Linked DNA regions of Saccharomyces cerevisiae S288C. Changing the gene in region 3 together with the main gene of any one other region gives a genetic interaction. Each region holds a gene or a part of one and is shown on either strand. Other genes may lie near its edges. The genes, in order: SPO1, UBP13, YLL053C and YNR064C.

Evidence for each region.
Region 1: mutations in YLL053C (region 3) and SPO1 together harm fitness more than expected from each alone (negative genetic interaction), as found in Saccharomyces cerevisiae (one large-scale study listed by BioGRID).
Region 2: mutations in YLL053C (region 3) and UBP13 together harm fitness more than expected from each alone (negative genetic interaction), as found in Saccharomyces cerevisiae (one large-scale study listed by BioGRID).
Region 4: mutations in YLL053C (region 3) and YNR064C together harm fitness more than expected from each alone (negative genetic interaction), as found in Saccharomyces cerevisiae (one large-scale study listed by BioGRID).

The regions. Positions count from the first base shown.
Region 1 is NC_001146.8:605,249-613,411, reverse strand, and holds SPO1 (putative carboxylic ester hydrolase), read right to left. Parts: upstream 3,727-8,163; coding exon 3,622-3,726; intron 3,538-3,621; coding exon 1,747-3,537; downstream 1-1,746. Other genes in the region: YNL011C (uncharacterized protein), read left to right, coding at 242-1,576; HEF3 (translation elongation factor EF-3), read right to left, coding at 3,959-7,093; PBI2 (Pbi2p), read right to left, coding at 7,801-8,028. UniProt on the Saccharomyces cerevisiae protein: Regulates spindle pole duplication in meiosis I, but not in mitosis. Required for meiosis I, meiosis II chromosome segregation and spore formation. Binds phosphatidylinositol (4)P mono- and polyphosphates.
Region 2 is NC_001134.8:91,256-99,504, forward strand, and holds UBP13 (ubiquitin-specific protease UBP13), read right to left. Parts: upstream 4,628-8,249; coding exon 2,384-4,627; downstream 1-2,383. Other genes in the region: AST1 (Ast1p), read left to right, coding at 1-775; ribose phosphate diphosphokinase subunit PRS4, read left to right, coding at 1,159-2,139; SEF1 (Sef1p), read right to left, coding at 5,414-8,249.
Region 3 is NC_001144.5:33,386-40,218, forward strand, and holds YLL053C (uncharacterized protein), read right to left. Parts: upstream 2,577-6,833; coding exon 2,118-2,576; downstream 1-2,117. Other genes in the region: YLL054C (uncharacterized protein), read right to left, coding at 1-1,819; AQY2 (Aqy2p), read right to left, coding at 2,527-2,976; FRE6 (putative ferric-chelate reductase), read right to left, coding at 3,948-6,086; COF1 (cofilin), read right to left, coding at 6,419-6,833.
Region 4 is NC_001146.8:746,912-754,259, forward strand, and holds YNR064C (epoxide hydrolase), read right to left. Parts: upstream 3,098-7,348; coding exon 2,225-3,097; downstream 1-2,224. Other genes in the region: PUL4 (Pul4p), read left to right, coding at 32-1,855; YNR065C (uncharacterized protein), read right to left, coding at 3,439-6,789; YNR066C (uncharacterized protein), read right to left, coding at 6,814-7,348.

The DNA.
Region 1 (8,163 bases), on a different chromosome or scaffold from region 3:
GTGTTGGGTTGTTGATATCCAATAAAGAGTTTTTTTCAGCGTGTAATGCTTAGATATTATGTGGAAAGTTACTACTGTTGTATTAACCTGTTTCGTATTTCCTAAAGAACGCTAATGTGTGATGTTTGGGTTTATTTCTTAAGCTATTTAGGCGGACTATGAAAGAGAGGAAACGGAATCTTTTGTTCCCTCGAGGTAATAAGGGGACAAAATAGCAGAGTGTGGTGAGATAGTTTACTAGATGAACGTCGTTGTGTGCTCCGGTGGGACTGCCACAAATTCATTGACTCCTTGCTTTTCTAATATTTCTATCTTAAAAGGACATGAGCTGACGTATATATTGCCAATATCAGATAATGGCGGGTCCACAAGTGAAATTCTACGAATAGTTGGTGGCCCAGCAATTGGTGATATCAGATCTAGAATAGTGAGACTACTTCAAGATGAACAGCTTGTCGAGTTGTTTGGCCATAGGCTACCTAATGATAAGTTATTAGCTAAGAAAGAATGGAATGAAATAGTGGAAGGTTCGCATCCCATATGGAAAAATATTTCGATAGAAGTTAAGGAAATGTGTCGTTCTTTTATTATCCATATGCAAGCAGAACTCTTGAAAAAAATCAAACACTCGAATCCATTTCAGTTTGAGAGTGCATCCATTGGAAATTTTTTCTTAACTGGTGCTAGATTGTTTTTAGGTTCTCTAGACGCATCTATTGAACTAATGATGAGGATAGGAAGGTGCAGTCCTCTAGTTCATGTTATTCCATGTATAAATACCAATCACACACATCATATCTCGGCTTTGTTGACGAATGGTGAGATGATAACTGGCCAATCACAAATATCGCATCCCTCGAAATCTGTTCCTAAAGATAATAGCATAGCACATTCAGCTAAATTTATTCATTTACTTGGCTCTTATGACGACCATTTGAAAATTCTCCTCGACGATGAGGAAGAAGAAGCGGAAGAGGAGTATGCCAATCCTATCTATATTCTTCCAGAACTGAAAAACTCCCAGTTGCATTTTGACAAGCTTGATGAATCACAGAATCTACCTGCTCCGGTACATAGGATATTGTATATAAACCCATATGGCGAAGAGATAAAACCAATGGGAAATCCAAGAGCTATTTCCAAGGTGAAAAAAGCTGACATGGTCGTTTATTCTATCGGTTCTTTAATGACAAGTTTACTCCCAATCCTTATTCTTGGTAATCTTGCTGAAGTAATTTTGGAATCTAATAATACGAAAAAAGTTTTGCTCATAAATAATAAATATGATAGAGAGGTTTTTGGTTTAGACGGTTTACACTACGTTCAAATGATCATAGATTCTATGAGTAGGGCAATAGCAGGCTATAGGCAATCTAAGGGTGTCCATTCAGAGAATGATGACTTTGAATGGCAAGATTTTATTACTGATATTGTTTACCTAAAAAATGGTGAAATTGAAATTGATGAAACGATATTCGAGAAGCATAGTATTAGATGCCACCAGATCGCGTCTTCGGATAAGATGGAAAGTGAAGAACTTGAAAAGGTTCTGAATCAAATTGGCCTTAAAAACTGATGCAACTATGTCGCTCATTAACGGTTATTATAGTGAAGACTACATAATAAAGACATAGATAATAAAAAAGAATCGCGTTTGAACCATGTTTTATTTAACCATATGGCATAGAAGAAAAGTAAAAAAGGTGAACAAAAACTCATTAAATTTCACAGAAAAAGTCTACTCTCTTATGAGTAACAGTAGTCTTTAAAGCATTGTAAGCAAAATGGCGAAAATTTCTTTTTTCTTGGGAGCCTGTCCATTGTTCTTTTGGTTAATATACAGCCTAAGCAATTTTTATAATAAAGGTCATAATCATTGCTAAACACTCCCCTTCCAGTGGGTAACATACTGCTAACTTCAGACTGATTGTAAGTTATTTTGAATGTCGACGTATTAGATGCGTTTCCATGATTCGCATTGGCATGATAAATTATAATTGGCAAAAATGAATCATGTCCAGTTCTTTTGGTAGCATTGCATCCTATAACAATGGGGTGAGTGAATGTTTTTACATTGTTCGGAAATTGGTAATGAACGTTCTCTTCATCTAATTTTTCGAATATCCTTTTTAACTTGGAGCCGTTTGGATAGTTGTCAATATCCGAACTAGAATCCAGAACAAAAATTACATCTAGTTCCCTTTCAGGAATCACCAATGTTCTGAGTGGAATATTCTCGCCGTCTTCTCCGCCGTCTACAAGGTATAAATGATTTTTGTTAGTTAGGACATTGTCTTTTTCAGGATAAAGATAAAAGGGATTGGGTTGATATACGGCATAGTCTGTCTCTAATCTCGAGGAGTCTTTCGAAATACTAAATATTTCCTCTTTACCTAGGCCAAAAATTCCCATAACCATATTCAAAGCTTTCATTGCTTCTCTGGAGGACTGAGAAGCCAAATTCCAGATGAAGATGAGCACATTGTTGAATATTGAAGAAGACGTCGCAGTAATAAAACCTAGATCATCAAAGTTATTAATACACTTCTCGGCCTTTCCAGAAACAATTTTTGAGCCCAAATAGGGCAACTTGACGAAAAGTCTGAGGATATTTTCCCAAGATCCAAATTCAAAGGGCGTAAATTCAAATATAACGTTTGAAAGAAGTCCATTTTTGCAATTTGCAACGAATATTGGGATCGGCACACTGCATTCCTTAAATTTTTTAGACGAGTTTACAAGCTTCGAAAACGAAAAGGAATGGTTGGGATCGTCATCGAAATTTTTTTTTAGTCTTTGAACGATTGCTTTACCCCAATAATCGGTGAACGATATTTGGAAACCCTCCATTTTTTTAGGCTTAATTTTCAAATGCAAACTTTTGTAAAAGTCTAGCACTTTTTTAAAGGTTTCAATCTTCGCATCAGTTCCAGTGAAAGTGTTGTTAGGAAAGAATATTTTTTTTAGTCTTGCTAATGGATTCAAGTTTCTCTTCGTTATCATATAGTCTTCTGGGATTTCTTCTATGGAATTCATGATCTCCTCTATTTGTTCATAAAAATTTGAAGAGCTTGTAATCAGAGAACCCCCCTGACGCTTCTTCATCTTCAAATCATTATCATTATACTCCTTTTTTGCATTGGTAACAATTTCTTCTTCGGAAATATCGAATTCCGGTATGCCTAATAAAAGATCCTCTTCAAGGTCCCACTCTTGTAGCAGGGATTTTACTTCAAAATTTTGAACTACCAAATCCATCAAGATCCAACTTCCGCCTGATAATCCAGCAATATAATCCGAATATTCAAAAAGGCCATAATCGTTCATTTGGGAAATAAATCCGGTACCTACTAACATGGATCTGTACCCGCCGCCAGATATAGCAATCCCAATTTTTGGAGGATCTTTCAACACGCGTTTATAAAACTTCGAACTAAACTTTGCCTCTGTCAAGGATTTTAAAAACTGAATCAGTTTATTCTTCGTTTTAATTTTTTTTTTCTTCAGATACAAGGTTTCTTCTGGACAGAGTTCATGCTAATAAACAAAGGAATACGAAGTTTTGGTATATTCGGTTAGTTTTGGCCCATATTTGTTAAAGTGGCAAAGAGTTTAACTTACTTTGGCCTCCCTAATAAGTGGAGAGCTAGGACATTGTACCTGAAATGGTGCTGTTGCTAGTACTACTGTCAATAACACAGAAAAGACAAAGAGGAGTTTTTGCATTATTTTGGGATATTTATGTCTTTACTTAGGTTTTTTACTTGTATACTTTCTCTGAGTGCATTTACTTAAATATGGTTGTATAGCCGCTGAAGTATGTTTTTTTTTACCTTTCTTTGTGAAAATCAGTAATAGAAAATAAACATAAAAAAAATAAAAATATAAAAAAAGAATAAGGATGTTAACTTCAAAAATATATAAGTTACTCACTGAAAGAGATGTACTCGACTTCAAATTAAAAATCTTCATCAGAAGAAACGTATTCATCACCCATCTCTTTTTTCTTCTTCATTCTCTCCTTCTTTTTCTTTCTCAATTCTGCAGAAGAGAGTTTGCTTTTTTTCTTCCCACTATTAATCTTGTTACCCATAGCATCAAATTTATCACCCTCTTCTTCTTTTTTCTCAATTCTTGGGCCAGCACCTTGTCCTGCAACCCAATTATGGCCAGAGGGTGTCATTTTCCCATCCTTAACCGCCCAAACTTCGTCAGTCAGATTCTTAGTAAATTCTGCCGAATGCGTAATAATAATGACACCACCTTCAAAAGCTTTTAATGCTTTTGAAAGAGCACCCAATGAATCTCTGTCCAAGTAATTCGTAGGTTCATCTAAAACAATCAAATGGGGTCTTTGCCACGTGCAGGCAGCGAGTACCAATTTAACCTTTTGCCCACCCGATAAACCTCTAATTCTTGAATGTGAGACTAATTCTGAATCCAACCCCAACATGGCGCAATGTAATTCAATCTCTTTTCTTGTTAAAGCCCTGAATTGACCAGAAGCCAAAGCTTCCTTCATATCAATTTCAGCAACCATTTTAGAATGGGATTCAATCAATTCGCCCCTTGGTAGCCAAGCATTGTCGACAGACATCATTGGAACCCATCTTTCAGATTTCATACCAATGTTCTCACCTAACAAAAACGAACATTCGTACTCATACGTGTTTTTAAATTTCCTTCTTGAATGGATTCCTGCAACCCTTCTTGGGGTCCCTTCAATTTTAAATATTTTATTCATGGCCTCTGCGTCATTTTCATTTATTTGCCTATTTGCTCTATCCATTGTTTCCCTATCCTCACCAGTTTGGAACCTCCATTGAATGTATTCGGATGGAGTTTTGTCTAAGTGCGATTCAATGTGTGCAAAAGCGTGCTGCTTAATATACGCTATACGACAATTCTCGTGTGTATATACTTCACCGCTGGTTGGTAACAGTTCACCAGTAAGAACATTAATTAAAGTGGACTTACCAGCCCCATTAGGTCCGATAACTGCAATCCTTGAGGATAGAGAACACTGGAAAGTAACATCTGAGACTTGTGGTTTAGTTGTCCCTGGATATTGAAAAGTCATATTACTTACTTTAACAATTGCCTTTTGCTTCGTTTTGACACCTTCTAGATAACCAGGAGTTGGGAATTGAAATTCAAGGTCAGAGGCACCTAATTCATAGTATGATTGTGCCGTAGGACATTTTTGAACAAATTCTGATAAATTACCCTTGTACTTTCTTAATTTAAGACCCTCATAATGTATGATGTATTGACAAACCTTATCCAGAAAACCAGAATCATGAGAGACAATCACCGATGTAATTCCGCAAGTATTCAAATAATTTACCAGCCACTCCACATTAACAGTGTCTAGATGATTTGTTGGTTCATCCAATAGTAGAATGTCAGCGTCCTTCAGAACAGCCCTCGCCAAAGCTAATTTCATTTTCCAACCTCCAGATAGGGATGCAATTGGCATTTCTATCATTTCATCGCTGAACCCAAACTCCTTTAATTTCGAGGTAATAACATCCTTAGTTCCTACATTGCCGGAATATACAAAATCTAAAACGGACATGTCCGAATGTGTATTATCGATATCGTGTTCCACATAAACAGTGCGACATTCATCCTGAGTGGGGAACCCGTCAACTTGGCCATTAGCAATGGATCGCATTAGAGTGGATTTTCCGGCACCATTAGGACCACATAGACCATATCTCCTACCTCGCTTCAACCTCAATTGAGTCTTGTTTAGTAATATTTTGGCACCATATGCCAAGGAAAATTCACAATTACACAAATCTTCACCCTCATCCTCTTCGTCTTGGAAATTCGGTCCAACTGGAATATTATCTACTGCCCTTTTCCTGAAATCGTCTAGTATTTCCTTTGCAGTTTTCTCATGTAAAAATATAGTCATATAAGGTGTAACATGTGTAAACCACGTTTGCTGATCAATGATCCTTTCATCAATTAGATTTGCGGCAATCGCGGCTATGTACTCAACCACAATGGTGAACCTTGGGGCCACTTTTTCAGGTTCCAGTAATTCCTTGATGACGCCCAGTGTTGTGGAAACATCACCAGCATGCGATATTTCTGGTAACACATCATCTTCCCCGACATTACCCACACGTCTCAGGGTTTTTAAAGCTTTTAATGTAACTTCACGCGCTTCAGGATCAGCAATAGTAGCAAAATTGTTCTTTAGCCCTGGTAGTAGTTTACCTAAGAATGGAGCAACAACTTGCGGGTCTTCAACCAATTTACACATATTATCGATAATAACCGCAGCTTTACGTTTTATAGAGGTTTCTCTCTCGGCTAAACCTCTGCTCAATAAAGGAACCATAATAGACAAAGTCGCTGGAGTTACTTCGGCTACAAAAGTAGTTGCACCCAAGAGATGAACGGTTTCAGGCACCTCATTTGGATTTGCAATACATTCGATTAATTTTGGAATAAATCTCTCAATATCCTTATTATCAACAGTTTCAGTTGCCTTTGTGATGGTTGTCGTTGCCGCCTCCTTAACTCCTTTCTTAGTGTCCCACATGGATTCCGAAAGAACGGGAATTAGTTCCGGCATTCTTAAGGCAATCTGTTCTTTAGCGGCATCTACCAATACAGAGATTACTTCGAGAACAGCAACCTTCTCTTTCCACTTGTTGCTAGTTTCCAGCGAATGAATCAAATGAGGTAAGAGTGCTTTAACGGCAACCGGGTTAACAGCACTAGCGATGGCTTTGAGGGCCTTTGTTGCCGCAAGTTGAACATCATTATCTTTACTACCAGCTTTACTGCATACAGAAGGGACCGTCGCAACTATGTACGGTTCAACAGAAGGTGATAGATTAGTTTCATTTGCTATGTAAGCCACCGCACCCAGCGTGTTGAGCGCCTTTTGTTTACTCTGGATAGCTTTTTGAAATTCATCAAAAAAAACTTCGGGAACGTCATGCTCGATGATGTTCCCGTTTAAAAATGAGGAAAGCTCCGAAGAAATACCCTCTCTTGTTTCTGAAGTAGCAGTTTCCAACTTTCGGAAAAGCTCTTCTAGAACGGTGATTGATTGTTGTGAATCTGACATTTTGTGATTCCTTTTTTTTATTTATTTTTGGTTTAAAAGGCTCTTTTTTTGCACCACACTATCTACCCTTCTCTATTAGATTGAAAAGAAGAAGGAATTTCTGGCGCAAAAGTAACTGGAGAGGAGGACAAAAGATATATATATATATATATTTAAATGGATATATATATATGCACATATATATTATCCAGAAAAGTAAAGCAAAATGTGAATGGAAAAGAGAAAGAAGAAAGAAACAAGTGGAGAAAAAACTCAAATTGTTAGAAGAATATACCCATTAATAGCGGAAATCAAGGCTATTCTTTTGTGCAAGCGCATCGCTCCCCTAAAAGACATCCAGCCGCGCAATGCACGGGCCGCGACCTTGAAAATTTAAAAGACCACTTCCTCAACACAGTTTAGCTCTGTTAATGACAAGGCAAGGAAAGCAAGATGACCAGAAAAAGAAAGTCCCGAGACACATCTTAGATGCCAAAGAAATGGCGCCACAGCAGTTATAAAAGAGCGTTAAAATTGAACAGGAGCAACGATTTAGACTGTCATAAATATATTCGTATATATATATGTATATATATATATATATATATATATATATATAGGACGTGCTCTGCTGTTTTTTGGTGAATTATTATAGTAGACGAGAAATAAATTTACAATCGGGGAGAGAAAATTTCCGAGTAAAAAAGTGTTTGCGTTTATCTCAGGAATCAATTTGTATGAACTTCTTTGTCTTCTTCGACGTTCTCGATGACATCATTGTGCTTTTCCTTCAACTTGTTCAAGTGGAGAACATCTGGTACCTTGATGGTGTACCCTTTAATGATGTCGAATTCGTGTACAATAGAGCCACCTGCGTGATGAACTGAATCCAAGAACTTCTTAGCTTCCACATCTGGAGTGTTCTTTTTCAAAGTGACGATGAAATTCTTTGTCATTATGGACCTTGTTTTTTGTTTGTATATTTAAGATTACCTTCTGGTTACCGTTCAATTGGTCTAAACGGAATCTCTGCACCTAACATAATGAAGCCAGAATTTTTTATATGTGCCATATATATTGCATTGAAAGAA
Region 2 (8,249 bases), on a different chromosome or scaffold from region 3:
AGCTGCAGGCTCCTTATTCTGCCTGGCCACCGGCTATAATATTCTGAATAAATTATCCAAGAACAAGTATTTGAAGCAAGATTCAAACGTTTTGATTAATGGTGGAACTTCGTCAGTGGGGATGTTTGTCATACAATTATTGAAGCGTCATTACAAGTTACAGAAAAAACTAGTGATTGTAACGTCTGCAAATGGGCCCCAAGTTTTACAGGAGAAATTTCCTGATCTGGCTGATGAAATGATTTTCATCGATTACTTAACGTGTAGGGGTAAATCTAGTAAACCACTAAGAAAAATGCTCGAAGAAAAGAAAATTTCTCAGTATGATCCGGTCGAGGATAAGGAAACTATACTTAACTATAATGAGGGGAAGTTCGATGTTGTACTCGATTTTGTCGGTGGTTACGATATTTTGAGTCATTCTAGTTCATTGATTCACGGCGGTGGTGCGTACGTAACCACTGTAGGTGATTACGTTGCCAATTATAAAGAAGACATTTTCGATTCATGGGATAACCCAAGTGCCAATGCAAGAAAAATGTTCGGGTCTATTATCTGGTCATATAACTACACACATTACTATTTTGATCCGAATGCAAAGACGGCTTCCGCCAATAATGATTGGATTGAGCAATGTGGCGACTTTTTGAAGAACGGTACTGTAAAATGTGTCGTCGACAAAGTTTATGACTGGAAAGACCATAAAGAAGCATTTTCTTATATGGCCACTCAACGTGCCCAAGGAAAGTTAATCATGAACGTCGAAAAATTCTAGATACCCACTTACATTTACAATATGTTTTATTTTTAAACTTAATGAACTTCATAATTTAATGCTTAATATTTTCCCCCTCCCACCTTCTCCTGGCGTTCTCTGTACGTACATAACCATTTATTTTAATATATAATCAAATATTGTAACAATTGAAGCAGATGAGTCTCGCTCCTTAGTTAAGCACGTGCCGATGATATCAATTGGATTTGTTAGCAAATCAGCCTTGCTGCTCGATTCTCTGCTTTTTTTTTACTTCTCGGTCATTGAAAAATCCTGACGAAAATATTTCAAGGTCCTATATGGTCATCGACCTTGAGCATGTGGTAGACTACATAATGCACATAGACTCTCAGCTTCAACTCCACAAGGCTTCTCCAGCAAAAATGAATTCAGAGTCTCGAGAAGATATGGCTATAAATAGTATCAAATTGCTAGCGGGAAACTCCCATCCTGATTTGGCTGAACAAATATCGAAAAAGTTAGGTATTCCACTTTCCAAAGTTGGTGTGTACCAGTATTCTAATAAAGAAACCTCTGTCACCATAGGTGAGAGCCTTCGCGACGAAGATGTGTATATTATCCAAACTGGAATAGGTGAACAAGAAATTAATGATTTCTTGATGGAATTATTAATTTTAATTCATGCTTGCAAAATTGCATCTGCAAGAAAGATCACTACTGTAATACCCAATTTTCCATATGCAAGACAAGACAAGAAAGATAAATCCCGGGCGCCCATTACCGCAAAGTTGGTTGCCAATTTATTGCAAACTGCTGGTGCTGATCATGTCATCACAATGGATCTCCATGCCTCCCAAATTCAAGGGTTTTTCCATATCCCGGTTGACAACCTATATGCAGAACCAAGTGTTTTAAATTATATTAGAACGAAAACAGATTTCGACAATGCTATTTTGGTGTCGCCTGATGCAGGTGGTGCTAAGAGAGTAGCTGCTTTGGCTGACAAGTTAGATTTAAATTTTGCTTTGATTCACAAAGAGAGGCAAAAAGCTAACGAGGTTTCAAAAATGGTGCTTGTTGGTGATGTTACCAATAAATCATGTTTATTAGTTGATGATATGGCGGATACTTGTGGTACGTTGGTAAAAGCTTGTGATACGTTGATGGAGCATGGTGCCAAAGAAGTTATAGCTATTGTTACACACGGTATTTTCTCCGGTTCAGCAAGAGAAAAGCTAAGAAATAGTAGATTGTCTAGAATTGTTTGCACAAATACCGTTCCGGTAGATTTGGATTTACCTATTGCTGACCAGATCGATATTAGTCCCACGTTCGCTGAAGCTATAAGAAGACTACACAATGGTGAATCCGTGTCATATTTGTTCACCCATGCTCCAGTATAGGACAATTTTTTATTCTTAGATTCCTGATTGCTTGCATGCCTAAATACTTCATAATTGTATTAGTTTAAAAGAAAACCTTTTACTGAGACAAAACTATAAATTTAAGAAAAAGGTTCCGGAGCCGGTTTAAAAAAAGAAGATTAAAGATATTATATTTATGTAAGAATTAAATTAATACTGTCAGAGAAAAAATAGTTTTAAAGGAGACGGTGAACCTTTACCTTCCTTGATATGCAAATATTTTTCAGCTTTTCCTAAAACTAAACATTCTCGACTTTTTTTTAGAAGACTTTATGGGTGTGTTAGAAACAAAGCTGTCGTCTATAGCAGTATCCAAATCGTCTGCTATAGGCAGCTCTTCCTTTTTCTTTTGACCACTATTGCAAGTTCTTAGCCAATCATCGTACTTGATTAGATTGTCTATATTATCATCTTGTTCTTTTGCCATATTTTCACGATCATTCTTTTCAACAGCGTTTGAATACATCGCTTTATAAAACAAAACATATGCTGTTGCCATATTTGGAGATTCACCTGTGAATTCTAACACTGTTTCCTCTTTAACTGCCTCTACCGTTTCGTCATCAAATAACAACCAGCCAAACTTTTCATGTTTACATAGGGAAACATAATGGCCGTGTTGTGGCCCACCGCCCATATGAACGACAATCCCAGCCAATTCATACTTTTGACAAACCTTAGAATTTATTGAAGAGCAAACATTTAGCGTCAGAGGATAGTGAATGTTATTAAAAAGCTTAATATTACAGTTTTGTTTCTCAGAATACTTGAATCTTTTCAAGTGTAATGTTAAAGTATCAGGCAATTGCTTCAAACCAACTAATCTCTCTGCCTCCTGTAAACCGCAACATTCGTCACAATAAAACTTGTTTGAGCCATTTAGCATTTCTCGCTGGTGATAACTTTTCAAAATTTCCTGTATATCTGTTTCCTCATCTCCCTGAACTTCTATGGGGAAATCCAAAAATGGCTCATCCCTAGATGTAATGTTATCGCACGTCAGACATTTTATTTGATTCGTTAAAGTGCCTTGAAACAAGTCACTGATGAAATTTTTACTCTTACTCGGTTCGCTATCGCTGTTGATATCACTGGCTGCTATTTTTTTATTCTCACGTTCTATATATTCACTCAACTCGTTTAATAAGAAATTGAAAAATTCGTGAGCATCCTGATGCATAGTAGTATTAAATAATACATTTTCTCTTTTGAGAACATCAACAAAAGAGCTAGGCGATACAACACCAGTTAAATACGTATTCTCAGTTATGCATTCAAAGATATCTCTCAAACTGGAATACAAAGTAGCCTTATCTGAGCCGTTTAAGCTATGGTCAATATTGAGCACTGGCCCACGAATAAGTGCGGATTTCTTTCTATGTTCTGGGGATATTTGAGAAGAGGAACTAGATCTTCTAGTATCTTTTTTATCAAGTGGAGTGGATAAGCTGCTATTACTTTCTCCTTTCAAGTCCAGGTTATTACTATTACTGCTACCTCTTGAAGGATTTTCATAATTGAGAACTCTGCCAACAATTATTTTACGCGGAACATCCGGAGGTCTATCTGTGACGTTCTCGAAACTCAATCTGCTCGGAGCACCAGGCTCATTAGGTGTTTCGACTATCAATGGAGGTGCGTCTTGAGGACGAGAAGAGGGTTTTCCAGTGGTTAATATAGCAGGACTTCCTTCCTTTTTATTATTGTCTTGTACATGTTTCGCGCTAAAACTTTTAAAAAATTTACTCTTCTTCTCTGAAGGCCCAGCTGTATTTGAATTTACAGAATTTACAGGGGTAGGCTTTCCATCATCAACAGATTGAGGTTTAGGGTTAGGCAAATGTCCATTGGTACCAGCAATGCTTTTCTCAAAACTTGCTTCGGTAAATATTCTTGGTTTCTTACCTCTCATTTCTTTCTTTCTTGGTTGATCAGATTCTCTTGATTTTTTTGGAAATTGCAATATATTTTCACGTAATGAGGACAGATTATAGAGACATTGAAGAACTGAGTTACAGTAACATGTATTGCCAAAATTTTCGTATCCAAAAACTTTGTTGGAGCCGTCTCCATAGGGCATTGAGTCGGACACCTTCATAGCTAATATGGGTGCCTCGGGCCCTTGCGTGATAATGCCTCCGTATGCGTTTATAGCCTTTGCGTTTGAAATATAAAATATCCCATCCTGGCTGTAATTACTGCCTTGATTGCACGTTTCAGAAGAATAGTCTAGTCCGGAAGAAATCTGCAAATTATTGTCTTCATTCAAAAAAGTTTCCTTGGTATCCAAATTAGAGACAAACAATGAGCTAGAGGGATTATCGGATGATTCGCTATAACAGAGTTCATCATTTATATCGTGGTTTACAGGCTTAAAGTCAACCTTTTCTACTTCTTCTGTAATGGTATCATTAACAGCCTTTTTCTTCTTCCCAGACTTACTTATAGTTAGCCATCTTCTGATCATGATTGCGCCCTTCTTGCGTGGGTTTAGTATGTTAATGAAAGTACTGGATCCTTACTAAAGCCGAATTTGGCCCCTTCAACAAATAAAGCTTGATGAGTTGAACAGTCAAAGGGTAAGATCTGGTATAGGCAATAATAATATTATCCAAATGGAAAAAAAAAAAATGAACAGGTGAAAAAAAATCAATTTGAAAACCAAAGAAAAACTCTATTGATTCCTTTGCTGTTGTCGACCTTCTTTCACACAATAGTTCAATTACGTTCTTTGGGTTCTTTATCTTTATAGTTATCTTGCCTCATCTCTATGTTCAACACTTTCGGATCGATGTATTTTTCAGCCTTCCGCTAAAATTGACGACCGTCTCCAAACGAATAGGGATAAAGAAGCAAGGACTGAGCGTTGGAGAAAAAAAAAAAGTTACCGGAATGGGAATAGATAGATACCTATAAGAAGCGTTATCGTTACTCATGAATTTTGGTAAATGCACACGGATAAATGCATGATATATAAAATATTAATAAGAATAAAATAAATAGGTAGTGAATAAATATTCTACTTTGGTGTGGTCATCATTTTACAAAGGAGGGAGGTCGTGATAACAAACTGATAAATAATCCTTAAGTTGATCCATTCTTGAATATTGTTACATTGGAAATAATCCGAAAAAGAATATGTATAAATAAAAGGACTCGAAGTCCTATGTAGCCGTCTTTGCAAATTTTCTTTAATAAATTAGCAGAAAACAAGGGTAATAATATTTCTTAGAATATTAGAAGAATATAGGCGTTAAAAACCTTGTTCCATGTTCATATCGAACCAACCAAAAAAGTCATCATTACTGGAGTTGCCTTCAATCCAGCCTGCACTTTGTTGCTGAAAAAAATCCGTTAGTTTGTTTCCAGGAGTCTTCACGTTGTTTTCATTATCGATGGTTTGGAAGTTAGAAGAAGTTACAGTGTTAGTGCCCGTAGAAAATCGTTGGTTCGTTTTGTTGCTATTGATATCATTACTTTTGGAAAACAAGCTCAGAGGTGGATATGCCGTGCTTTTAGAGGAGCCGGGGTCGGAAACGACGGAATGCAAATCTGTCATATTATTTGACTTCGAAGCAATCGGTGTACGTGAATGGGACATACTACTTTGTGATCTTCCAATCGCGTTGGCGTTGCTGAATTGATTATTATAATTCATGGTGACATTTTGTAAATTACTGTGCTCCCTTGGAATAGGGTGGTCTATTCCCAATGTAACATTATTAGATAAGTTGCCAACGGGGTGGTTCCTTAACCCTGGAACGGACGCAGGAAAATGATTAACGGGAGTGCTTACTGATCTTTTCATGGAGAGATCAGGAATTACACTAGGTCCGTTACTATAATAGTCTACCTTAGTACTTTGTGGATTGTTATTCGAAGCGGGGACAGAAGCCACTGGATAAATTGAATTAGAGGGAATTGATATGTCATTAGACGCATCCAATAACGTCCTATTATTATTATAATCGTTACTATTCGAGGTATTAGCGAATAAACTTTGAAATTTTACGCTGCCTGTTTCCCCGAGCATGGAAAGAGGTATCCCGTTAATCTCCATTATAGAACCGTCAGAATCTCCGTTATTTGTCTTGGCTAGCTTTTCTGCCTGCTTTAAGGCATTCTTAGTAGGAACTAAAGTGGTAACAGTGGTTCCACTTGGTGTTGTTTTTGTTACAGTTTCAAAGTCATCTCTGGAGATATGGTTATATAGTGGCAATGGATATAGTTTTCTGTCCGTTATGCCACCCGTAGACGAAGTGCCATTGTAGATACCATTTGAGGAAAATTTTCTTTTCTTAGCGGCTTTCTCTAAGGCTTGCTTGTTATATTCGGGATCCATTTCCCTTCTTCTCGCCTCGTGAACACACCAAACCAAATCATAGAATAGAGACCCTGTTAAATGTGATCTCATCCTAGAAATAATACCGTCTTCTTCCACAAAAACTTCTGGATGCATGATCAGTACGAAGTTCAGTTTTTCTAACATACTTGCAGTTCTCGAAATATCATTCTCAACACTAGTGGCCCACGCAGTTAACTGATTTCTATAAAGTCTATGGATAGTGACCACGGATTGCCTTGCTGAATCAAAATATTTGTCAGGAAGTAAAGGAGTCAACTGCAATTTAAAGAGAATCAGTGCAGAAAATGTAGCAGCTTGTCTAATATAAATAGGCAGTTCAATTAATTGGTGTGTTTCTAAAAGATTATTCAATAGAGTGACAATTTTAGTAGCTGTTAGATAGGCCTCTGTGACATATGGAATTTGATCGGTAGGAGGTGTTTCGGGTAGGAATGCAAAACAACAGACAGTTAATTTAACATAAAGAAAATAAATGTTGACAGTATCGTCACTCTGGAAATTTAAAGTTTTTGCTAATAAATCTAACTCTTTTCCCAAGATGGACAGTGTCTCAGCACGATACTTTGGTTCCAATAAACCATCAGGACTGGAAGTGGAAGAACCAATGATATGAGACAATTTTGCTTGGAAATTCGCCAGGCTGAGCAATCTTCTAAAACTGCCCGGTAGTTTGTATTTACTTTCAACGTGCGGCTCGTCTTTCTTGTTCCTTTTATCATTGTTGTTATTGTCAATACTGTCATTGTTATCTTCTTCTGATTCTTCGTCACCACAGGATAAGGCTTTTTCTAATAAATAGTCTGTCTGTGAAGTTGGTGGCAAACCAAGGATACTCGCCCAACAAAGTTCGGCAAAAAATATTCCCAGCCAAGTCCTAGTTCTCCACTTTTCTGCATTTGGCATTGATGTTTGAGTTCTTGTGAATTCAGAAATGAATTCACCTCTGTGCAAACCTAATTGATAAGACAGTGACTTTGCTAATCCTACAAAACGGTAAGAACAATCATCTAGGACTTTTTGGTTAGGCAAAGGCCAAATGCACAATATTAACAAAGCTTGCGAAATATGTGTGGATCTAGGTGTTCTTATCCAGCAGGTCTCTATGGCAAGTTGCTTGATCAAAGAGCTTAGCTTGCAATACATCGTCGGTTCAGGATCAGACAGACATGCCGTCAACATCACGGTCCAGAAAAGCAACTGAGATTGGGAGTATAATTCGGTGGCGTTATTGGAATACATAATAGGAAAATACGGCAGATACCTAGTCACGAAAATATGGTGTAATCTATTCGCTTTTTCAATGGAAATACTAATATCGCCCAGTACAAACTCATCTACATTTGCATGCGGCGAAGGCAATAATGGCATAGTCGTGGTGGTGGCTACTACCGGCGTCTTCGTCCTATCTGCATTGTTATTTGTTGCTACGTGGCTTGTTGCTGCAAATGGTGGTTGATTTGTTGTCGTTGTAACGGTGGTCGACGTAGTATGAGGGGAATATGTTTTTTGAATTGGAGAGAAGGGGCCGTTCGGAGTGTTACCTGCAGAGTTGTTCTTATAAAAAGCCATTTGCAAAGCAGGAGGTAAAGATTCTTTTGAATTATTAGGCAATGCTGAGTCATTTAGCAGCGGGGGCAGCTTATTTGGCTCTGTTGCAACCAAGCCTTTCGAATCTTGCGCTAAAGAAGATGCGCGCAACGTCATGTGAGAAGATGCTTCATTA
Region 3 (6,833 bases):
GCAACGTTAAATAATCTTGTATAGCGGTAAAAGTAAAGCGGTGATAATATGTTTTGTACTCCAAAGCGTTTTTGAAACATTGATTTTCAAAATGCAAAGATAAGCTATCATAGATGTTCATTGTACAAGTGTAGCTAATCACATTAGCTATGAATGTTTCATTTTCCTCAAAAGTGCTAAAGTCAAAAGATTCTTCATTTGCTAAGGAAGAGGGAACATTGATATGTAAGCTCTTCATCCTTGGTTCTCCAAGAGAACTTAAAATGAGAGGGAATTTCTGATTTAAAAAATCTTTTGTCTTGTCGATGTTATCCAATACTTCCTTCAAGTAGGAAGGGCCATTTATTGGAAAACAAGAAGTCAGTAATACCTGTAAAGATAAATGTAAATGATAGATATTCTCTGCTGTAGCCATCAACGATAAGTCTAGATTATTAGTAGAAGCGTAATTTCTCTCAAATAGTTCTGGTAGAGATTCGTCAGTTTTCATAAAGGATCTTAAATATTCCAAACTTAGAATGTCAGAATCTCCTTCTGGAATCAATATTCCAAACTTCAAAAATTGCACGCCAAGCCATAATTTCCTTCTTAAATTGAATAATCTTGGATAATCGTCCGATTCGCTGACGTATCGAGTGTATTGGAAGGGTTCTTCATTCAGTCCTAGCTTTATTGCTACATTCTCCAAAAATTTTAGGTTTAGTATGTCACTGTGAGTAGGATACATGTCAGCTTGATCTGGATTCAAATACCGCAATATGAAAAAATAGAGCAGACAACAAAGTGTATGTTCATTAACATATTGAAAAACGTTCATGAGAGCAAGAAGTTTATGAGCGAGTAGCGTTAAATTATTCGATTTTACACCAAAAGATTCTTTAAATGAATGACTAGTACTTAGACTCAAACGTCTGTAAGAAAAAGCCAATATGATAGTTAGCAGTGTTATTGTCTCCAGTTTTCTTCTAGAGTCTTTGCCCGCAAATACAATGTTATACCCATTAAATTCATTCAATTGCAACAGCTCCCTTATGTTATCTTCGAATAATGATATTTCCAGTAACGGATAGACCGGATATATTGTTTTGTAAAAGTCCACGATTAAGCCATCAACCTCATTCTTATTGAGGAAATATTTGGATAACTCTTCCAAAAGGATGTTTATGGAAATTTTATCATTATTTTCTTCAGGATGCGCTTGTTCATAATCATACGTGTTATACAGAAAATCTATTGGAGGATACAATTTGCTTGTTTTTGAGGTATTTTCAATAAATTTAAGTGCAGCTTTATCAATAAAAAACAAAGGTCCAATATCACCGATTGTTAAGTTAAGTTCTCTTTTTTTATTGTTGGCAGAAACGTTTTCACGATGGCGTTCGACATCAATCAGTATCCTCTCATGTATGCAGGTGGTCAAGGCCTTCGCATACAAATCATGTTGAAGAATGCTATGGAAGGCAAAAGGACTATCAACGATGGTTGTGTTATTCATTACAACAAGCTTGTCGTGTGCATTCGATAAATTCATGGCAAAATTTTTCATTTCCCAGTCTTTAGTACTTGGATTAAGTATGGAAGTAAAGGAACCACTTGCGGACATCGATGCAGGAGTAATGTTTCTAATGTCTCTATGTGGGGCATTTTCGATAGTGGGAGATTTGTTAATCCGTCCTGGTTCCACTTCGTAGCTACAAATCGAGGATGAGGCCTTGCATTTGGAGCAAGTAGGCCAAAGTTTATCACATTTGATTTTCCTTTGCTTACACCGCAAGCAAACAAACGATGGCTTAACCTTTTTCTGAGATGCAATGCTCATATCCAGTGCAGTACACTTATCTTGTCATAGATTTCTGATGGGTAAATAATTACTTCACATCATCTTTGTTTCCAAAGTTTGGCCTCAATGTTGCCTTTAGGAGGAAAAAATGTGAAGAATGCATACTTCTGCCGCTTACGTAAAAACAGAACTCTGACCAGAAGAGATAAAAACAAAAAAAAAATAAAGGACAGTAAATATGAAAAATAAGATATTATTATATTAAATTAAATTAAATTAAATTAAACTACGATGGGAGCGTTATGCCAAAAAAGATAAAATTCTGAGCAGACTACTCTCAGTCTTCCTTCTTTTGACCTGCCGCCTTTTCGGCATTAACGTATGTAGTGTAATCAAGGATTTGTAATAATTGCCACACTGACCAGGCTAAGAAGGCACCCAAAAGTGGGCTAATCCAGTAGATCCAGTGGTAATGAGGGAAATATCTGGCAGCAACGGCGGCACCCAGAGATCTTGCAGGGTTGACACCGGTACCAGTGTAACCGGTCAAAGCCATGTGAGCCATGAATAAAGAAATACCAATTGGAAGCGCAGCCATAAAGTTAGTTTCACGTTTTTCAACAGCAGTCATCAAAACTGTTAAACACAACACAGCAGTACCAAACATTTCCAAAAACAACCCCCTAGATCTGGAACAGCCTAAACCCAAAGCATTAGTAAAGAGAACCTTGCCTGGAGTCATAGCACTAGCGGCACCACCAGCAGCCATCCCAGCAATGATCTGAGGAAACCACATCACTACACATCTGGCTGGTGAGATGGCTCTGGCCAAACACAAAGAGAGAGAAACGGCTGGGTTCAAAGCCCCACCAGAAACACCAGATAGAAAACATCACAGAGAAACCGAAACCAAGGGCAATCATGATCAATTGACCTGGATGAGAGCCCTCAGGCTCGGTTGTCAAAGCCACATCATGGTTAGCGACATTACAAATGACGTAAGCACACCATAAAAACATGAAGGTACCGCAAAACTCACCCACAGCAGCGATAAAGTGGTTTCTTAAGGTATCTCTGTCAATATTAAAACGCGAATGCTTCGTTTCCGGCTGTTCAGGTGGAATATAAGCATTGTCAACACCGGTCGGGTCCAAGTGCGAAATGTTTTTTTCAAGGTCGTTAGATTCGTTAGACATAGTATAACTAAGGTAGGCTAGTGTCGCTTTTGAATATTTTCAGGAATTGTAATAGCCAGGAACAAGAAAAAAGACATGCGCACACTAATAAGCTACTAAAACCAACATATTTATACTATCAACCGAGAGAGGGGCAGATATGATTCACGATAAAAAGTTAATAAAAGGATAACAGCGGCGCTCTAATTCGTTAATGAAAGCCATAGTCCGGTATGGACAAAAACTATTTCCTTCTTTTTTTTTTTTAGGTTTTTTTTTAATTTGCACTTGCAATAATCTAATTCACTGTAGGAGTTTAAAGAAAAACATCTAGAAGGATTGGAGGAGGTAAGTCATTATTATGGCGGTGCTCTTTTAGCGGGAAAAAAAAAAATACACCTACGACGTTAAAACAGATCGTGCTGTCGTCTCAGCGGCAGTAAAAGTACTGTAGTAGTTACGGTGCACGCAGATGCAATGCTAATTAAATAATCATGCTCCCATTTTTAAGAAGCAGAAAAAGGCCGCAGTAATTTGAGCCGTGAAAAGATTTCGGAGGGTTGATTCTTAACATTTTCCAAAAAAATGTCCTTTGGTCTGTTTGCTTGGGTCTGAAAAGAAGGACTGCAGCGCCACCTCCACTGGTTAAGGACAAAATCCATACTTATTCCATCTTTCTCGGGACATATTTTCCTGAGACAAAAGACCGTAGAACTTCAAAGACTCGTTCCCAGAAAGGGATTTAGAGTTAATTTTTGCTCGGCATCAAGCCGGAAAAATTCAGGCGCCGCTTAGTAATTAATTGCAAGTAAAGAAGTACCGGATTTATTAGACATCGTCTTAGCAAGCAAATTCCTGAAAGCTAAAACGCAAATAATTAACTAAAAATAGTTGCTAAAGAGCACCTTTTATGCGGTACATAAAAGTTTTTAGTGCCGTAGATATATGTAGATATAGGTGGGCGTAGGATCAGAAGGAGCCGGAGAGAAGATTTACCAACACTGATATTCCTCGAAATACTCTATAATTCTCTCTGGGTAACCGAGGAGTTTTTGAGAAACGGTGTTTCTAACATCGTCCACCAGAACAGGAGGGCCGCAGCACACGACCGCTAATGAATCTCCAGGCGGCGTACTTTTTATTGCGTTTTCAATTACATTGCTAAAATTAGGTCTTGCATTGCCGATGTGGGCGAAGCTTGTCAGTTCGGTCATTATATCATCAAAATGTATTAATTGGTCTCGTGCGTTTGCTGCCTTTGTAACAGCTGTTTTCTGTGTAAGGTAAACCTGCACGTTGACGTGGGATCGGCTATTTTTTAGCTCTAGTATCTCGGATTTATAGCCGTTAAGAAAAGAAGGATTTTTGATCGCCATGATCAAATCTATACTCTTGGGTTTATCAGGGTTTCGTGACAGCTTAATGGCATGATCTAATGGACCAGGCAAGCCTGTTCCTCCACTTAGTAACAGCAAATGGTCGAATTTATCGAGGTGAAGATTACTGGGCCCATAAGGTCCCTCAATGGCCACTCGGAGTTGTAATTTACCATTTAAAGATTGCAAAATATGGTTATAAATGAATCTAGTGAGACCACTTTTAGGTTTGATCACTAAAACACACTTCTCACCTTCGTCGATAATGGTAAATGGATGGCATTGCCAAAATACCAATGGATGTAAAAAATAAATGAAACAATATTGACCCGGTTTCGAATGCCATCTCCGGTTATATTTGGGTATGATTACTTTAAACATTTCATCGTGCGGGTTGTTGCTGGTGTTCAAATTGATTAGTGTTGCTTTCGGAAATCTAAACTGCAAAATGTTCCATATTCTGAAAAGCTTTTCCAGCCCCCAAATGAGCAAGGATACCACTATCCATTCTTTCCAACCGTTGAAAATTTTGACGTGTTGCCAACAACAGTAAAAGAACAAAAGGGCTAGTATGATGTGGGTGTACAGGAAAAATTCGTAATGTCTTTTCCTTACTATTCCGAGCGATAGAACTAGTAGAACGCAAAGCACTGTTATGGATGCAATACCAAACTTCCAATAGAGCTGTTTGTTGCTTATTTTGAAGGCATGGTTGATAATTGCGAATAATGAATAAGAAAGCGAATGTATCGTTGCGTTTAAGACCATGATTCTACCGATCCATTTATGGAAACTAATAAAGGAATTGAACTTGACTCCTGTTAAAAATTCGAGAAAACTATTCCTTGCCGTAAAAATGATAATGAGAGGGAACTGAGTAAACGCCAGTATCCCAGATCTATCAGCCAACAGTCTTGTAAACTGCGACAGGTGACTGTTGAAAATGAGGTTATATGGGTCTATGATGTAACTTATGGACAAAAATATGATGTTCGCCAATGTGTATCCAAAAATGATCCATGCCTCCAAGGAATTCGGCATCAGTCCCGTAAAGACTTCCACGTTTAGAAACTTGAAGTGATTAGCGTGCTTATCTACTAAAAACGTAGGCAACACAAAATGGCCCCGAATATAATTGACGAACCGGCTTGCAAATAGCGCTCGATTCAGGCCGTTATAGTGACTCATATGGAAGAAGACGGCGATAATACCCACTATGACGAAGTAGTAAGTTAAATATGCACCATAAACACTGCTGATATCTAAATTATAGGCATGCGCATGAAAAGCTCGTATCCATCTAGATCTTGTCTCACGATCGACTCGAATGGATGTCGATAAACTTTCAATAGAACCATAGTCTTCCAAAGCGTGAGAAGAAGCATTATTTAAAGATGAGTAGTATTGCTCCAGTGAAATATTGCTAAACTTTTTATCGACAAACGAGCACGTTTTTCGTACGTTACCCAAGCTTTCTTCGAAACTTGTGTTGTCCATGGGAATAATCTGGTCTGTAAGCGAATTGAAGATACAAAGTGACCAAGTATCAAACGCTGGTGAATAAGAGCATATGGTAGAATAGAAACCCGGTACGACGGAGCTATCAAATGACCACTTCAGAGTATTTATATAGGATGCGCATGCCAGCACAGCGTTGGATTCCAAATGGTCTTTTTTTTCAGTGTGTGGTAATTTTATATTAAAAGCCTTTGTTAAAGATATCAGCCACGTTAAAAACAGAAGCGTTCTATGCATATTCAACGAGCTATGGTCGTCATGCTTCACTTTAGAAGATTATAGAAAAATCATTGCTGCCTGGTTCGATGACCTTGTATCTTTTCTTGATCTACATGGCCAGTATTTCCGTTCTGAATTTAGAATTACAAATATGGGTGCAAAAACAATGCCCACTAGCCGGGGTGTACGGGACCTTAAATCTAAGTATTGTGTTTTAGATAGAGTTGCGAAGAGAAAATTATAATTATAATAATTCTATACATGTATTCTGTATATATATGACGATTTTATATATAGATATACATTTTCATTTTTCTTGAAGATTGTTGTCATTTGTGAAATCATTTACCTTAATGAGAACCAGCGCCTCTGCTGACTCTTTCCAAAACAGAATCGTAAGAAACTTCGGAAAAATCAGTACCTTGAACATCGGTAGAGACACCGTTTAAGGCTCTTCTTAAGGCATCCTTGGAGGATGCATAGACCATCTTAGATCTGACTGGAGCAGTGTCTGGAGACCAAGTGAAGAAAACAATCTTGGATCTCTTACCTTCATTACCATTAATTTCGTATTCAAAATCGTAAATGGCGTAAAGACAGTCGTTTTCTGGCAATTTCTCTAAGAAGGCATCGTAAGATGGGTCAGTAGAGGTTTCCTTGACAACGATTTCGGTTTTAGCATCGTTCAATCCGAATAAAATAAATTTGTATTTTTTACCCAATTTCAAGTCATTGAAAGCGGTAAGGGATTCATCAGCAACAGCA
Region 4 (7,348 bases), on a different chromosome or scaffold from region 3:
TAAAACTACAAAAGCGTTCGCAACAAGCAGTATGGACAGATCTAAGGACGCTAGAAAGAGATCTATTAGTTTGGCCTGTACTGTGTGTAGGAAACGAAAGTTGAAGTGCGATGGGAACAAGCCATGTGGAAGATGTATAAGGCTAAATACACCAAAAGAATGCATTTATAATATTGATAAAAGGAAAGACAAGAGAAAAATCAAAAACGGGTCGAAGGTTTTTTTATTCAAGAATAATACTATCGATAACGGGAATAACTCTATACTAGAGAACAAAGGACTAAATGAAGACCTTTCTTCTCATATATATGAGAAAGAAGCGCCAAAATTCGATTCAGATATTGATATATCAAGATTTGGCACAAATGATGCTGTGATTTTTAATAATGACGGGTGGGACACTTCTCTTCCGATCGATTTTGATTTCGATGAGTTTAACACTGAGACAACAGATTTCGATGACTTTTTAAAACTATTAGGCGATAATTCACCTTCAAAGGAACAAAAAAGTCTTTCCTATTCACCTACTGCTACAGGCTTAAGCGGTGTGGTTAAAGAAACTGAGAGCGAAGATAACGCTCCTACGAGGTCTCGGCTAATCGATGTCTTGTTTGAGAACAAGCTTCACTCCGTACCAGGAATATCAAAATGGCATCTATATGAGCTGGAATCCCAATACCCAAATTTGGAATGTACAGAAGGAAATAGTGATGAAAAGTTTTTACTTTCAACTGTATTGTGCCTGGGGTCGTTGACCATACGAAAAAGGGAACTATTGAATCATTCGAACATAGACAATCGTCCACTTTTGCCGGAGAATAGTATTTCAAAACTGACCACTGATGCTTTTAAGTACTATAATGCTGCGAAAACGCTTGTTCCCGACTTGTTATCTCATCCCACAATCGATGGATTTTGCGGCCTCGTTCTAATGGCAAATTTCATGACGATGATGATATCCTTAGAGCACCAATTATATTTGAGTATAAATGCTTTACAACTTGCTGTGGCTTTAAACTTGAACAACAATACAAAATGCAAGGAATTACTTGAGTCGAACAGCGACGGAATTGGTGTGATCTTGCTTTTTTGGAACATTTGGTGTTCTTCTTGCATGTTGGCAACAATTCATGGAAAAAATCCTTTTATCACTTTGGAACAAATTACAACACCTCTGCCGTGTGAAATATCCCCCCGCAATAAAACTAATAAACTTTTGATAGATTTCATGCAAATCAGAATCAAGCTAGCCACTCTACAAAGTAAGATTTTTCAACGGCTATATACTTCCAGCACCGCAAACGAGGTACCATTCGTAAACTTAGAAAGAGAATTTGAGGAGGTTTCACTCCAGATTACCAGGTTAAAAGGCTTTCCGATATTCGAAGAACATCTTTTTTACAGGAGCAGAGTCTTAATGTTAGAGCTATCATGTTTAAGAGCTCAAGCTTCTTTTCTATTATATCGTCCGTATCTGATCACTGGAGAATCCTTACAAGCAGTAACCATGGCAAAATCAATAATTCACGAAATATGGAGTCAATACACTAAACAGTTTCCCGATAACGAAAAGGAAAGGCATGAACGTTTGGATTGGAATTTTTGTTATCCTTTAAGAACAGCGTCACTGACATTATGTATTTCATGTATTATACTCCTAAGGTATAAGCAGGTGGTGCAGTTCCTTAAAGGTACTGAACTATTTGAATACATTCTAGCATTGGAAATATTGCAAGATTTAGTTCAGGTACTTCCTATTGAACAAAACCTTATTGATATAATCAAATATCCGATCAGTCCAGTACAGCTGAGTGGTGATAGCTTTGTCGAATTTTGGGGTCGCATACTTTACTAAACCGTTTCCTAGCTGATTTTTTGACACTTTATTCAGAAATGACCTTTTGAGATACAAGTTTACTAGGGGAAAGATCCATATGACATGGTAGTAGGTTTACCCTTCAAAACAACATAGATCGTAAAAAAGGTGGCTGAAGAACTTACTAAAAATGTTATATGCTTAGATTAATATATTGTCACCGGGCTACCAGTACAAACCCTTGATAATGCGACCAGACATCTGTTTTGACTTATTTATGAGCAATAATGGGTAACAAAAGAACGCTCTGAGGCAACTCTATGTGAGTCGAAACATATGTGTTTTTGGCAATTAAACAAAATACGAGAGATTCTTCTCAGAAAACATTGTCACAAGAACTTAGTATCTTTAATTTTCTGCAAACATACTGATGATTTCTTCGGCAATAGCAACTACGTGAGTTTCAAGCGCAAAATGGCCAGTATCATAGTAAACAACCTTTAAATTATCAACGTCTTTCCGATAAGCTTCAGCCCCGGCAACGCTAAAAATAGTATCATTCGCACCCCATGCAACTAGCACAGGAATCTTTGAATCTCTCAAGAACTTTTGAAAGGCTGGGTACAACTTTATATTATTCTGATAATCGAAAAATAATCTCAATTGAATATCGGTCTGGCCGGTACGCTGAATTAGCGCAATATCAAGCGTATAAGCGGCGGGATCAACAGATTCGATAGCTGGTACTCCATCATGGTACTGGCATATGACATTAGCTGGATCTTCAAGGTACGGGATAAGGGATTTAACAAATACCGGATCACTTTGATATGACTTCCAATATTCCTTCAACGGACCCCAAAAGCGGTCATCGAGACCCTCTTCGTAAGCATTACCGTTTTGAGTAACAATGCCAGTAATTCTGGAGGGAAACTTCAAGGCTAACCGAAAACCTACCGGAGATCCATAATCAAATATATACATGGCAAATTTTTCAATACTCAAAGTATCTAACAAATATCCTATACTTTCACAAAGGGAATCAAAGCTGAACTTGTAGTTTTCTGGCGTTTCCGTAAATCCGAACCCAGGAAGATCCGGAGCAATGATGTGAAACTGTCCAGCTAGTAAGGGAATGAGGTTCCTGAACATGTTGGAAGATGTAGGGAACCCATGTAGCAATAAAATTGTGGGGTTACCTGCTGCACCGGCCTCACGGTACCAAACCTTTACACCGTCTTGAACTTGAATCTTGTGAAATCTTGCAATGATATTTGACATTTTTGTCCTTCGTCCAATTCTGACAGTGAAAGAAAAGTGGTCAAGTTCAGTTAATTTGATCGTGCTTATATATGTTCTTTTTGGCTCCTATCACTTTTGGCTCCTATCACTTTTGAAATTTCTGTCACGATTATGTGCGGCGCAGTCCCTAGGCAAGTTACAGACGAATGGCATGCAGCGCCGTCTGTGGAAAAGATGAATACTGAATTATCATACCTTTAAATGACTATGTTAATAACAAAGGTGAATGGAGATTTAGAAAATGCACAATATTGAGAAAATGCATATGCGTACTTTTTGTTAGCAAACATACGATTATTTAGTCTATTAAAAAAATCTATTTACTCGTCCTCGTTGCGCACAGCAGTTGAATCAGGCTTGTGAATAGCACTACGTGCTGGCAATGCGTCTGGAATATTGCTAGTGGCAGGCTGGTCTATCTGTGACGTGTGCTCTTGTTCGGGTCTGTAAGCATCTTCTTGTTCAATTTCAAAATTACTGTCTTGACTTGTGAAACTGGATAAATCGTTAGCATCTTCATGCAAGCCATCTGATTCATCTGAAAACTGACCCTGAAGCAGCGAAGAGTAAGTAGGACCTTTTCTGTTGCCAAACCTTGCCCTTAATTTTGAAGAAAAGCGTGCTACACCTGCCTTCGTGCGTTGAAATGCAGACTTGGTAATTAAAGAAATGCATAATCCTAGTCTTACAATGATGTTGACAACTCTATCGGTCCTATTGTTTTCTATCAGCCCATCGTCTCCTAATCTTATTTCTTCAAATCTTGAAAATCCCCCATTTCTCCTGATACCTCTATCGTATACAAACCATGCGGCAAAGAAAATAACGAGAAGAATTGTAACAAAAACCAGCGCATAAGCGCCGGTGTTTATAGAATATTTTTCCCTGAATGCCTTTTCTTTTCCCGGACAAGGATGTGGTGCTAAATGTGCATCCAATTTCAGCCCACCTTTACAGGTTGATAAGGGAATTTTTCGATAGCCAGAGGAATCATAGTATTCAATTAAGTCGGGTTCCTTTTTGCAGATATCGGCACCATTCGCCGAACTTAAGCCTTTGACTAATTTACAAGTACCATCACTGGCTTTATAAAAATTATAGTCACATTCGAAATCTTGCCTCGTACATGAACAGTTTTTGACGTTCCTCGAAAATTCAGAAAGTGGAATATTCCCAATAAAACATTTTTCATCGGTTTTACGTAAAAACTCGGTTTGATGACCAAATAGACAACCAGTTCTGGAACCCAGAGGAGAGTACTTAAAATCTGCCCTTTTTTTACCCGTAATATCAAACTCACATTGCCTCTCGAAGATGTTTCTAAAATCAATTGTATACGTTCTGAATGAACCACTACCCATGTTTTTTGCTTCTCCAAATAGCAAAAACCTCAAAGCAGAATCTCTGGGAACGGTGATTATATCCTTTACGAGGACTTTGTCGCCACAGAATTTATAATCTTTCCATGTTTTACCAAAATCGGTGGAGTAAGAAATAGAATCAGTTTCTGCGTTTTCGGGGACCAAAACCAAGACTCCACCATGATCACCGTACTCCCATTGATGGGGGCCTTTTTTAACCTCAGTCCACGTCTCTCCTCCATCAGTGGTTAAAAAAGTGGAACACTCCTCATATGGTAGAAGCTTATCGCCAACATTTCCGACACCAAACATCATTCCTAACGCGGAACCGGAGGAATATGTATCCCTGATATCCTTACGTTCAGTGTAACCATGCAAATGTAGAGAACATTTATCTAATGATACAGAATCACAGGGAAACTTTTTCCCTTCCGAATCCTTCTTTGGAGGCTTCAAAAAGTTCCAATCTGAACCGTCATTAAAGGTGATTTTCGTCTTCAATTGTTCGTCTTCCTTGTTCTCTCCAACCTTTTCCCTATTCGAAACGATGTTGGTAATAATAATACCTTCAAGACCTTGAACTTTTTCAAAGTCGACATAACCGAATGTGTTTCTATTAACGGCATGCTCTAAAGTGACAAAAGAAGTACCATTCGAGTTGGATTTCAAAAGGTTTCCAAAATCGTGTCCTGATTCTAAGTTTGTTGCTAAATGTAAAAATATCGATCCTTTCTCAGATCCTAAAATAGTGAATGCCTCTTGCTTACTAACATCTTGACCATACGGGAATTTTGCCTCGGCAAACTCAGTACCATCAATAGTTACATATGCCCTCAACTCATTGTCTTCATGAGGTACGGCAACAATAATATAGCCACCAGTGGACAAGTAGCCGATAATGTTTTCAAAGATAATTTTATTATCACCTTGGAAAAAATCTATCGAAGAAACCAAGCTTCTTGTTTCTGAAGACTTCTTTTTTACTTGGCACATAACCATCTCCTCATTTGACGGATATTCAAAGAGTGTGCCTGCAAACTCACAATGAATTGCATTATCAAGCATTTCTGTAAAAGTTTCACCTCCATCTTTGGTGAGGTATGCTACTGCATGACATTCTGGACTTAAGATTGATTCACAATTCTTGCCACCATAGTAAATAAAAGTATCCTGTGCTTTAGCACTAAAATCTAGTGGCATACCTAATTGCCTGGCTTCAGGTAATTTAGCTATCATAAAAGAGTGTCCTCTATCGTGTGTTGAGAATATGTTACCTTTAGAGCCAAACAAATATGCTGAAGAATTGAAATATGGGTTAAACACAACTTCAACAATTTTTTCGCCGTTAGTGTCAAACCTTTTTATTGTTTGTCCACCATCGTGGGATATATAGGCGTCTCCTATCGAATTCAGCATGACCAAAGATTCGTCGGCAACTGTATCGAAGTATTGGTAAAATTTAATTTCGAAGTCAAATTTGTTTTCAGTGGTCACTATTTCCCTGTCACTCGAACCCTCCTCTGGAATTTCGTCACACGGAATATCAACGGGTTCAATTTTCATGGGTGTTTTACATTCATCACCTTTGATTAATTGTAATGGCTCTACTAACACAGATTTATCCTTCGATTTGTCACATATGTTGGAAAAGGCAATCAGATTATAATCTGGTATACACAGGCCGTTTGCGTCCCTAACAAATTCAAACGAACATTCGTAGTCGGATTCACCACAACTATTACAAGGCGTTTCATCTAAACTCAAATCTTTGAATGCTTTTTTTACCAAACACTGGGCGTCTTGTTTCCTCCTTCTATACTTGTATTTGGCGCCATTAACACATTTCCCATCCGCCAAATCCCAATCTTCAAAATCTTCCTCCTCACACGTTCTAGAGTCGAATGCTGCTGAAAAATCAATTATATACTCGACACCTTTTAAAGAAGTTATACTGTTGGTTTCGGAATCGGTAGTGGCAAACGTTCCTTTAAAAATAAATTTTGAGCCAGATCCATCTGGTGTTGGATTTATCAATTTGTAGGGATGGACAGAACTTATGGCATTGGTCAGCTCATATTCATTCCATGTTCTACCTTGGTCCAAAGAATAATAAAATTCAGATTGAAAATCGCCATCTTCCTCTGGATCATATGGGATATACACAATAATATTTCCCAGGTCACCAGTAGCATATAACCCAGAAGAATTATGAACAAATCTCCACGTTAAACCGCCATCTCTAGAGATGAAAGTTTTTTGGTCTTCCCAATCGAATTCACTACCGTCGCCAACGGAACCTGTCATTAACATAATTCCGGCAGTAGGATTTGAGATTTAGATACTATAAAAAGGGTTCTGGAGCGAACATCTTTCAGGCCTAGTGATATCACAAGGGAATGAATCTGCATTTTCCTCGTCAACCACTTTCAAATTTGACCATGTGAGGCCGTTATCAACAGATATTTTAGTTTCATATCTGGCTATCTTTTTATTATATTTTCCTTTGTTATGAGAGTAGTCAAAGGAAGGATGAAACGAGCCAATTATTGTTCCTTCTAAGAAATGAGGAGAAGCAATATCAATATAACCAAAGTGAGGATTTATTGTCCATTCAACAGGTAAAAATTTCAACCCTTGAGAATCTGATATTAAAATTTCTGAGGGAGCTGGTTGGTCGTTTTTTTCATCTGTGAATATCGTAGATATAGGAATGATTATTCTTCCAATAGAATCTTCATAAATTCCATACATATGGACGTGCCGTACTTGAGCAGGTAGACGTGCCTTTTGAAAAGTAGACGCATCATTGGATATCCAGATGTCCATGGGTGACATTTCATTGTATCTATCATCTTGTGTCGAAACGATT